3 linked regions of the Drosophila melanogaster genome follow. The protein of the gene in region 2 interacts with the protein of the main gene of each other region in a pairwise test. Each region holds a gene or a part of one and is shown on either strand. Other genes may lie near its edges.

Region 1 (3,913 bases), on a different chromosome or scaffold from region 2:
ATAAGTATAGGGTTCTCTTTACGGGAAGGGGAGTGGCGTATTTGGGTGGTCCAAACCGGCCACTTCAATTATTTCAAAAAAAACAGTAATGCTTTAGTGATTTTCCATAATGTATCCCATTTGCGCAGCATCATGCATTCCCCTCTGGTGATAAATTTTTTGGGGAGTCCTATATACTCCAGCCAAGCTAATTACGCAGTTTCTGAAAAATGTTAACGTAAACACATTGGGTTGGCCATTTCAAGGTCCAGACCTCAACATAATAGAAAACCTCTGGTCATATATGTATAAAGAAAAGGCGTGCAAACATATCTAGGAGTCGCGAAGAAACGATTTTGGAAATTCAAGCCTTATGGAAGTATATTTCAATAGATTATAACCACAGTTTGGTACACTCTGTACCAAAACGTCTCCAAAAGTTGATAGACGCTAAGAGAGGGTATATTTTTTATTAATTTGTTATAATTTTTTTGTTGATTTTTTTCTTTTAAATTTATGACATTTAAATAATCCATATGATTATTTTACTACATATATACATATACATATACATATAAATACATATATATGTATATGTATATTCTACATATATACGAAAATTATTAAACAATTTCCCATTAAGTAAACAATGAGTTATAAACAAATATATTGAATGTATTTATTGTCTAAATACTTATGCCCACTTTTGTTGTGTCGACAGCAGCCAACTCCTTTTGATTTCATAACAGCAAAATCGAATTCTGTAGCCTTTTATAATTTAAGGCCGCAGCACTAACAGCCCTCTATCTCGGTCATTTCTATGCAATGCATGTTTTTAAGTCCACTCTTCGCTTCTTGATCGCTAAGCATTATTGTCAGCGAACTTTTTTGTATTGTTGTCGTCGCTAGTCTAAGCGCTAATTAACTAGAAATAAAATTTATAACGTTTCAAAAGTAAATAAAAAACAATTAGTTTCAAGAAGTCACCTCGCGAAATTTGTCATGGTGTGCAATACCTAGTCCATTTCCATTTTTGAGGATCATTTATTTGACTAGCTGGATCATTTATTGACTGGATCATTTATTCCACTGGAACGCCGTCAATAAAAATGTGTTTTTGGGGATATACATATATTCAGCTACTCTGTCTGCCGTGGAAGTAGGATGAGACGTCCCTGGTTATCAATGTTAAGGCGGAACGGAGACAGCATTTCTTGGGTGTCACGCAGGATACTGGGGTCCTGCTTAGTGGCGTGATTGAATCCATAAAAGATTAGCAGGCATATGGTTGCCAGGGAGAAGGCAAAGGCGCTTTGACTGGACAGGATTTGGAAAACCACCGACTCGCTTTCCTTGGCATCCCGAACCCAATGACAGGCACTGATCGCCGAGCAGGCGAAGATGGCGCCCAGAACAAAGCGCCAGCGGAGTGAACTCCGTTTCTCAGTGTTTACCACCTCAGCCAGCCGACGCTCGAAAGCCAGCAGGTCTTCCTGATCTGTGTCCTCCATTCTGTTGCTAAAGGAGTTGACTCTAATGCGGTCCCCTGGGCGCTGCAATGCTGATTGCCCCGTTAATTACTATTTTACGAACAGCAGCAAGGCCGCATCATTTGCAGAATTTTTACTGACACGATAATAATTTTTTTCGGTAAAGACGAAATCTGTTTGAAAAAAAAGACAAAGTAATAATGATATGATTTTCAAGAAACGAGTGCTGTGATGGTTTCTATGCTTTCACTTTTACTTCCTTGTAAAAAGTACATACATTGAGATTGTAAAATATCCACTATTTTGCCTATAATGTAATGCATTATCCCACCACATTTAAAATAAATGTTTATATTGTTATATTTCGTTTAGATCACCATAGTAGTAAACAAAGAAACTAGAATGTATGCGTAGAAATGAAACGTTCGCTGTACAGCTTTCCGCTCTCTCGCTCTTGAACAAAAATTCGAGAGACCCTGGAGCCACCTCTAGAGCCACGCCAAAAAAAAAATCGTATGGCGTTACGCATTTTGTTATTGTAGTGTCTTTGTTGTAACTCTCTCCGTCCGTATGAACGTCGAAATTTTGGGAACTATAAAAGCTACAAAGTTAAGATTAATCCTGCAGATTCTAGTTATGCCTAAGATTGTTGATTTGATTGAGTGTTTCACATTGAAAAATTTTATTTTTATAGAGCCATCACGCGAGTGCATATAATTTGGCTTGGAATGTTTTTCAAAAACATAGAAATACATTGCATTGCACGACGGAATTCTAACCATTTTATACCCGTTACTCGTAAAGAAAAAGGATATACTAGATTCGTTGAAAGTATGTAACAGGCAAAAGGAAGCGTTTCTGACTATCAATTTCTCAATTTCTATATAGTAATAATGTTGACATTTGCCTAGTTTCTGAAACCTGGTTAAAAACATCTTACAACACGTTAAAATACGCAACTATAGCTGTTATTGAAACGATCGAACAGTCAAAAGAGGGGGAGGGGTTGCAATATACATGTATATAAACAAGTATTCGCCATTTCCTGCTACCTATTGGCGTAAATATTTTTAATATAGTTGGCACTCAGACATTTATTTAGTCTTGTTACTTTCCATGAGGTCAAGTAAATCCTCAGAAAAATCAACTCTTTTTGTCCGACATTCGCCAATTAAGCAGCGCAAATGTGCCTTATATTGTAGGAGGTGACCTAAATTGCCGACACCAGTCTTGGGGATGTCGCCGGGCAAACTCGTGGGGTAACCTGCTAAAATCCAAAGTTGACAGCAACAACTTTTAAATACTGTATCCCCTTGACCACACCTATATGCCTGCAGGAAAGCACGGTCAACCATGTACTCTAAACTTTTTCCTAACAAATCGCCCACAATATCTTATAACTCCGCGAGTAATAAACACTCTCAGTTCAGATTATTTACCTGTTCTCCTAGAAGTTACTAATGACTAGCCACTTACTAATATCTTCGTTTGCTTTGACATAAAGAAAGCCAATTCCTTTGCAAATTTCAGCCTTTTAAGCTAGTTAATTTTTAAAAATATACCTGATTAGCAGTGTCCTGTTCCTTTAAACGTCGACGAAATGTCCACTCACTGATTGCCTTACGTTCACTTTTCGGAAGGCTGGAGGTCAGATTCCACTGCGTTGCAACGGCCTGTTCTTGTTTAGGTTTAAGTCATTATGTTTCTTAAACTTTTTAATTTGATAATACACAGCTTGTCGCGACACATTAAACTCATTTGCAATGTTTTTTACTTTAATTCCAACGTTAAACTGTGCAACCATTGATCTAATAAATAAACTTAACTTAGCCTTTTTACCCATGGCTATCAATTAATTTTTTGTTTTTTATTAAAGTTCAATATCCAAAAAAGTTCAATTTAAACAATTGTTGATTAACACGTGCTCAAAAGCAGAACACCATTTACTAAATGAGTTTGTCAAAATATAATGCCAAACAAAAAATTATCATGTTTCATTAAGTTGTTTATAACTTTTTAAGTTTAATTAAAAACACAAAAAAATACAAAATAATCAATACTACCATATCAAACCATTTAAAAGTTTCACTGACAAATGTGCAGCGTTTATTTTGTCCAAATACTTATGCGGACTAGTGTATATTGGAGGAAAGTTAAATATCAATATCCTAACTTCAAAGCGAACAGTCGTGTTTTTTTTTTTTTGTGCTTCGATTTTTATTTTGTGTTTGTCAAACCAGCCGCGGTTTTTAATAATCTTCTTTATTTATCATATATTGTAAACATAATTATTAAAGATCCGTTCGCTTCGCGAGTGATTCTTTGTGTTTTGTGCAGTAGTTTAAACAAATATACAAAGTATTTTGCATTTTTCTTCTTTTTGTTTTGTTTACTCTCCCTTTTGTGCGTTGTTCGCAGTGCTTTTTGGTGTTGTTTTTTTGCAC
Region 2 (3,588 bases):
CGGAGGCTCTTGGTCGCGTGGACAAGGTGGCCAATGGTACGCACACGCCCATCATTCTGTGGACTAGTGGACTCACTGAGGAGCCCTTCATTGACGAGTATCTGAACCCAGAGCGTTACATCATTCAGATCTGGACCACTGGTGTAGATCCGAAGGTAAAGAAGATTCTGGAGCGGGGCTACAAGATCATTGTGTCCAACTACGATGCCCTGTACTTGGATTGCGGCGGAGCTGGCTGGGTGACCGATGGAAACAACTGGTGCTCCCCCTACATTGGCTGGCAGAAGGTGTACGACAATAGTTTGAAATCCATTGCCGGCGACTACGAGCATCATGTATTGGGCGCGGAGGGAGCCATTTGGTCAGAGCAGATCGACGAGCACACACTGGACAACCGCTTCTGGCCCAGGGCCAGTGCCCTGGCCGAACGACTTTGGTCAAATCCTGCCGAAGGTTGGCGCCAGGCGGAGTCACGTCTGCTGCTCCACCGCCAGCGACTGGTGGACAATGGTCTGGGCGCAGAGGCCATGCAGCCGCAGTGGTGCCTGCAAAACGAGCACGAGTGTCCCATTGACGCGTACGATGCACAAGTTTGACCAGCTATTAAACCATTTCTCTTAACGGTCGCTATCCTTGTAGATGTAGTCGGGGCAGCGGGCGGCTTGGGTTGATCGTCCTGTTGCTTCTCACAACGCTCTCTGCCTGAAAATAAAGTACAGCTCAAAGGTGGCCTTACGCAAGTGACTTGTCGTTTATTTTGTTAAATATAAATGAGATTATTGGCCCTGCTCTGCGCCCTTTTCCGATTCAAAGCGGCAGAATGTCGGAAATAGTGAGGGAAATCCGTACAGACTCGACGATTTTTTCGAATATGAACAGTAGCAGAGTTGGACATTTTACGCTTCAATGTGTGGGGTGAGGATTTGCGAGTGATGGTGTCCTCGGCCTCAAGCATAAACTCCTTGGACTCCTGATTATGTACGTAATGAGTCTAGATACTAAAAGCTGCGTTCCCTTGTGCAATAATTTGAATGGAAGCTTTACTCATTCCACTCTTCCTCGTTGCGTCCAAACTTGTAGACCAAACTGGCGAACAGGATGAAGACGTTTTGCATCAGCAGAGCCACGCCAAACCAGCCATCCTTCTTTTCTGAAAAACGATAAGTGGGTGCAATTCAGCTAAGGAATCCTTAAATATCTGTTTATTTCTCACCATTGTTGATGAAGTCGTCGATCATCACCCAGATGGCGGCAATGATGGAGGCAAAACCCATTAGGAAGCCCACAAGCAGCCAGATCTTCGCTATCCTGGCGCCGGACTCCGATGAGTTCTCATCAGAAATCTGCGCACAAACAAAAGAAGTGAGTCACTTGTTAAGCCCAATGATAAGTGTGTGTTACATGTTCTCCCTTCACTGCGTTCACCATGCAGAAGCTGATGGTCCCGAAGATGCCGATGAAGACGTGTCCTGTGGTAATCTGGTGCTTGCCGTCGATGGACATGGCATCGATTAGAACCCACCATCCTGCGAAAAACTAAGGAGAAAAAGTTGCACTGTCAGGCGGGCGGCTCTTTGTTTGCGGGTGTTAGCCTACCAGAAGTCCGGCTATTATGGAGGTGTTCCTGTTCCTGGACGCATCCCCCGTGAAATGCAACGCAATATTGTCCAACACGCCCATTGTTTAGGTTTTAAAACGTAATTAAATTTATTCCACTCTTAAATCTTCTTGTTTTGACGCACAGGGTTGTCTGTCTGCAGGTGAATACAGGGTTTCTTCACTCGCTGTAGCAACCCTGTTTCAGTATTTAGTGTGTTCACACCTGAACTGCAGCAGTAACATATACTTTTTGTGTAACACAAATTAACTCCGTTATAAAAAGAAAGTTGCTGTTAATTAAATATTTTGTGCAATAATTTGTGCAAACATTTAAATGTTTAACTTTAAAATTACTGCTTATGCAGTTTGTTGTTGTTTTTTAGTACGTTAAAGGCACGACGTCTTTTTCAGAAAGTCCAATACGGTCACACACAACTTCACGTTTAACAAAATTTAATTGATTTCCTTATTATTTAACAACCGATCGCAGCGACACGAGTGGGTGCGTGTTGTCAGTTATAGTAAGAGATTGCAAAGGAATCCTAACCAGAATGCTAGTCATAAACTCATGCAGAGCTGCCTCCAGATTGGCGCTACGCAGCCTCAATTTGCGATCGCCGATCGCAACGCGTACTTTCTCGACGGGATTGGCCCTGAAAACGAAAGATGTGTGAGTATCTTCTCCACCCCACGAGCACTACAATGGTAGCTCCACACCGCCAGAGCAGCGTAAACATTGACCAATCTCGCTATTGCAGTGTTAACATAACCTTCGTGCGTGCCAATGGGGACAAGATTAAGACGTCCGGAAAAGTGGGTGACTCCCTGCTGGACGTGGTGGTCAACAACAATGTGGATCTGGATGGTTTCGGGGCCTGTGAGGGCACGCTGACCTGCTCCACCTGCCACCTGATCTTCAAGACCAGCGATTTCGAGAAACTGCCCGACAAACCCGGTGATGAGGAGCTGGACATGCTGGATTTGGCGTACGAACTGACGGACACCTCGCGGCTGGGCTGCCAGATCACCCTGTCCAAGGATATGGAGGGCCTGGAGGTACATGTGCCCTCCACCATCAATGACGCACGTGCCGCGTAGATAGACACCACCACTGTTATCAATTGTTACAAATTTGAGTGCTAATTCGCTTTAGTTCAACCTAGATGTAGTCAATATTTTTGAACGAAATCGTATGTATTGTCCCAGGGACACAAACCTCAGGCGGCTATAATGGATGCGCGCATTAATCCGATTCCAGTTGCGGATTAGCGTCCGCTGTTGTTTTTAAAGTGTTTAAGCTCAAAGGGATTAGATCAATATGTAAATAAGTGTGTTGCAATAAATTTACATGTATTTTCGTACTTCTCTTGGTTTTATTGAAACTGTGGAGGAAAGCATCCAGCGTAGATATCATTTTTAACCAATAATTCATTTGCCTTTTTAATTCTATTGGCAAAACTAGCCGATTTTAAATCGGTCATTCTTGTTTTTTAAATATCTCAGCTAAAAAGTGTTTTTCTGCGTGTATTCATGATCTCGAAGTTGTGCTCGGCAAATAAACAGGCACACGCAAAGATTTTCCTCGGCATCATAGTTCTAATAAAAGTGTGTAGTATACTTTTGAACACAGGTTTATGATCATTAGTTAGCAAATTCAAGATGATCGTATTTTATATTCCTATTTGCCTCGCTTGTATGACAATGCGAACCATATTATTCTTTATTCTATTCATTCGTTTTGCCAAACTTGTTTTGTTTATACCAAAACTTCCAGTCACGGCCAACACAAGGGCTGTTATCAAAGCCCCCCACACAAACATTTCATCACACTGATAAAGTTTGCATTAGCTTTGTTTGCGTTTCCTTATCAGTCGTTCCCAAGCTCCGATAATCAGAGGTACTATTAGAACGCATTAAAACACTTGTCGCTTAATAAAAGTAAACTTTTTATTATTTCGCAGCTATCAAATAAAGTAATAAATAAATAAT
Region 3 (3,701 bases), 970 kb from region 2:
TTAACGATATTTTAAAATAATTTGTTTTTATTCAGATTGTAACATGCTTCAAATACTGCTTAAGTTATTCTATTTATAGGATGAATAATTGCAGAAAATAGAGCGCTGCGTACAGCGATACTATATGATGTAATCTGGATTATTTATCTCTCAAGAATGCTTACTGAAACTGTGGAAGTAGCTTGCAGGACAGCATGCATTACATAGATAGGTAAAACGCAGAATACTAAAATAATTAAATCTCTGGTTAGACTAGGAACTTCTGGGAAACCCAAGGGCGTGCACTTAATACAGATGTCACTCATCCATATTCCATAGTCTATTATTAAAGCAATTGCTTCAATTTATTTGCGTTAGATAGGGTCAAATATATTCAATGTATGCTCATGCGAATGTTTAATTGTTATCTACGAAACGGGTTTTAGTCGCTGACGATAAATAATCTTTAACTAAATTTATTTTTAGTCTGAGTAAAACACAACCAAGCCAAAAAACTCACCCTGTTAATTTAACTCCATTATCTTTCAATTGAAAAACCTTTGCCTTAAGTTGATAACAATTTATTTAAAAAGCCATTCATAGGACCAAAAGAAAGTCCCCTAAAAATTACACAAATTTAAAAGTGCTATGGTTTTAAACACAAAAAGTATAATTTATTAAAACGCTACTTACAAACTAACAGATATAACATGATACAAAAGATTAACATCAATGGCTTGGAATGAGTTTACAAAGTTATAAAAATAAGCGTGCAATGGTTTAGCGATCAGTGAAGTGCTCCTCGACGTCGCCGCTACCCAGTCGTGGCGGCAACTGTTCTGAGAAGCGCAGCTGGCGCTATAAGTTCCCATCCAGGTTCTCCTCGGTGTTCTCCTCCACGATGGCCTCGTCCCAGGGCCCGTGAATGTTGAACTTGTACTGCTGCTGCCACACGAATATGAACGGGCAGACAAAGTTGATGAAAATGGTGGTGGAGGCGTAGAGATAGAGCACCGGGCGCGATATACAGTACAGCGCCATACAGCATATTGCAAATATAGGCAACATGAATCCAGCATGCCAATTCGCTTCCGTCATTATGGGATAAAGGACGAAAAAGACGGCAGCCTCGACAAGGAGCACGAAGGCGTGATACGAAGTCGGCAGGCGGGAGGCTAAGCAAATTGCTCCAAATATGGCGGCATTCAACGAGACGGCCTGCGCTTAACATGGAACAAGAAGTATTTGTATTATATAGGATTCTGAGGTGGAGTCAAGATCAATATACAATCAACACCAATAGCCGTAAATATTGCCTACCTTAGAGACCATGGCTACATCCAATCCATAGTGTCCAAATATCAGGTTGCCCAGAAGGACAAAGAAGGTCATTGTGTATATGGTGTCCGTGCTGATGGCCTGCGTTAGGGTGTGCAGCATCGGTGAGAATAAGTAGCCGAAGAGGACCACTGTGACCAGGGTTTTGGAATCCTCGCCCAGCAGGGCCCAGCTGAGACTCCTTCCTCGGTAGCACAGGTATCCAATGCCTGTGATCCCGCAACTGGGTACCAGGATCGTGGTGGGCGACACGCTGTCGCTGAGCATAAGTTGGTAGAGTATTAGGAAGCCGGTGATGCAGGAGATCTGATTATTAAGCACTGTAATACCGGCAATTGCTTCGCCGAACGTGTATATTCTACAATGTAGATTCGTGCGCAGATCCTTCAGAAAGCTGGCATCCGTGTAGTTGTCCGGATATTCCCGGTTGGAGTACAGGTTCTTCACCCATGGCTGCCGTTTCGATTGCCCATTTTTTACCATTCTTAAATTTAAAAATTGTTTGTTTACAATTCTATTAGTGCTGGGTTATCAGCGTTCGATAGTATCAGTTACTATCGACATATCGATATTGTTTTATCCACTGAAAAGTATTGAAAGTAAGTGCTGGTCACACTGTCATAGTGATGCATGTTTCACTTGAAATATCGATGATGATAGTTTAATTTGAAATATTAATAAACTGTTCATTATCTAAACAAGGGGTTTTACAGCAAGCTAATAATATACAAATCTTATTCTGAAAATTATCCCCAAGCAGAAGTGACTCGCCTACATCGATAAGAACATCCGCTGGTGTTGCGCAAAACAGTTACTCGAGCTATCGATACTTGTTCGAGTGGTTGAACCACCACTACCTTGAATTCGGAAATTTTTTGACGCACTTGTTTGTTTTGTTTACAATTACGCCACGAAAGTAAATCGGCAGCTACGAAAAAACATTAGGGATTCGTGCGGCGGGTAAACGATCAGTGGACAGTGAAGCAGTCCGTCCGGGGAGAACGCCCCATGAGCAGTTTTACAAACAAATCGCCGGTCGCGTGTTCTCTCGCCAGAGAAACCCCAGAATTTCCGAGAATAGCTATTTATGGCTTCGAATGCGCAACTCGGGAAAATCATTTTGATATCTGCAATCGCCGTGTTCTTCTATTACTTCTTTTGGGTGGCCGTCCTCCCGTTTATGCTCATCGATGAAGGTGAGTTTTCCACGGCTTCCGTTATTCACCCGCTAATACATAAGTTTTATTGAATAATCTCGCGCTTTTGTATAGTAATTAAAGTGACGCCGCGGCGTAAATTGGTCACGATGTTCAATTATATATAGTTGGCAGTGTACGAGGATGAACCCGTGTGTTTTACAGAGGTGACCACCCTAACACGGGTTACCTGGAATGCGGCTGTACGATGCTCTAAGCTCGGGTCAAGGTCACCGACGACTAGTGATGATAGGAGTACAGTATTCGCCCGATATGTGCACAGTCAAACTAGTTAGCTATTGTAGAGTCTAGGCATGTACAATCAGCGATAAAAACGAAAACGTGCTTAACCAGTGGTACCACTGTATTATGTGGTTCCAAATCTGGGTGTGTACTTAGCTAATTATTTTCGGTAGTTTTTCCGCCTGGATATTGGCTCTTCACTTTATACGTAAATATTTCATGATCGTAGTTTTGCCGTTCCGTGACAATTTTAATTTGTTGCTATTAAGAGTAATCATAAAAACAATATACTTACGTATTTTCTTTCCTGGCCTGTTATCAAATGAAACACTTGTGAACATGAGTATACTTTACAAACTTTTACAGGCAATCCCATTCGGCTGTTCTTTCCACCGCTGAAGTACGCTTTCATTGTGCCCACCGTGTTCGGGGTGATCTTCCTCGGCGGCATCGCCGCGTTCTCCTTTTACCACATCTGGAGCCTGAGAGTGAAACGTGATTAAGGGGGTTATCCGGGGGGTTATCTTGCTCGGTGCGAACGCGAACGTACGATTCCACTGAAAAACAAGGAAGAGCGATAGTCAGTCGTGGACAAGATGCCGCAGTGGCTGGTCATTGGTATCTCGGGAGTCACCTGTGGTGGCAAAACTACGCTAGCCCACAGCCTGCACGACTACTTCAAGGGTCTGAGAGGAGCGCCGCTGTGGAACTCGCCGTACACCATTGGCGAGGTGCGTCTGATCTCGCAGGATGACTACTTTCTGCCCGTGGAGGACAAGCGACATCAGCGAAATGAGGCGCTCAACGCCATCAACTTCGAGCTCATCACCTCGCTGGACATGGCCAAGATGCTGAACGACATAGCGCACATAATCAAGGGGCGCCATGTGGCTCCCGAGCCACAGGAGCACCTTGTGACGTATGCCAACTTCGAGCACTACGCCC

Evidence for each region. Proteins that work in one complex are often made in the same cells at the same time.
Region 1: the proteins of CG15012 (region 2) and Cnep1r1 interact in a two-hybrid assay, tested with the Drosophila melanogaster proteins (one large-scale study listed by BioGRID).
Region 3: the proteins of CG15012 (region 2) and PIG-C interact in a two-hybrid assay, tested with the Drosophila melanogaster proteins (one large-scale study listed by BioGRID).

Annotation. Positions count from the first base shown.
Region 1 is NC_004354.4:22,943,062-22,946,974, reverse strand, and holds Cnep1r1 (CTD nuclear envelope phosphatase 1 regulatory subunit 1), read right to left. Parts: upstream 1,655-3,913; 5' UTR 1,491-1,654; coding exon 1,119-1,490; 3' UTR 967-1,118; intron 905-966; 3' UTR 636-904; downstream 1-635.
Region 2 is NT_037436.4:4,290,474-4,294,061, forward strand, and holds CG15012 (uncharacterized protein), read right to left. Parts: upstream 1,774-3,588; 5' UTR 1,681-1,773; coding exon 1,597-1,680; intron 1,537-1,596; coding exon 1,402-1,536; intron 1,344-1,401; coding exon 1,214-1,343; intron 1,151-1,213; coding exon 1,041-1,150; 3' UTR 735-1,040; downstream 1-734. Other genes in the region: Hexo1 (hexosaminidase 1), read left to right, coding at 1-577, 640-706; Fdx2 (ferredoxin 2), read left to right, coding at 2,151-2,269, 2,358-2,697.
Region 3 is NT_037436.4:3,317,393-3,321,093, forward strand, and holds PIG-C (phosphatidylinositol glycan anchor biosynthesis class C), read right to left. Parts: upstream 1,841-3,701; 5' UTR 1,801-1,840; coding exon 1,300-1,800; intron 1,198-1,299; coding exon 838-1,197; coding exon of another isoform or gene 760-837; 3' UTR 636-759; downstream 1-635. Other genes in the region: Dpm2 (Dolichyl-phosphate mannosyltransferase subunit 2), read left to right, coding at 2,405-2,513, 3,123-3,259; CG12016 (uncharacterized protein), read left to right, coding at 3,353-3,701.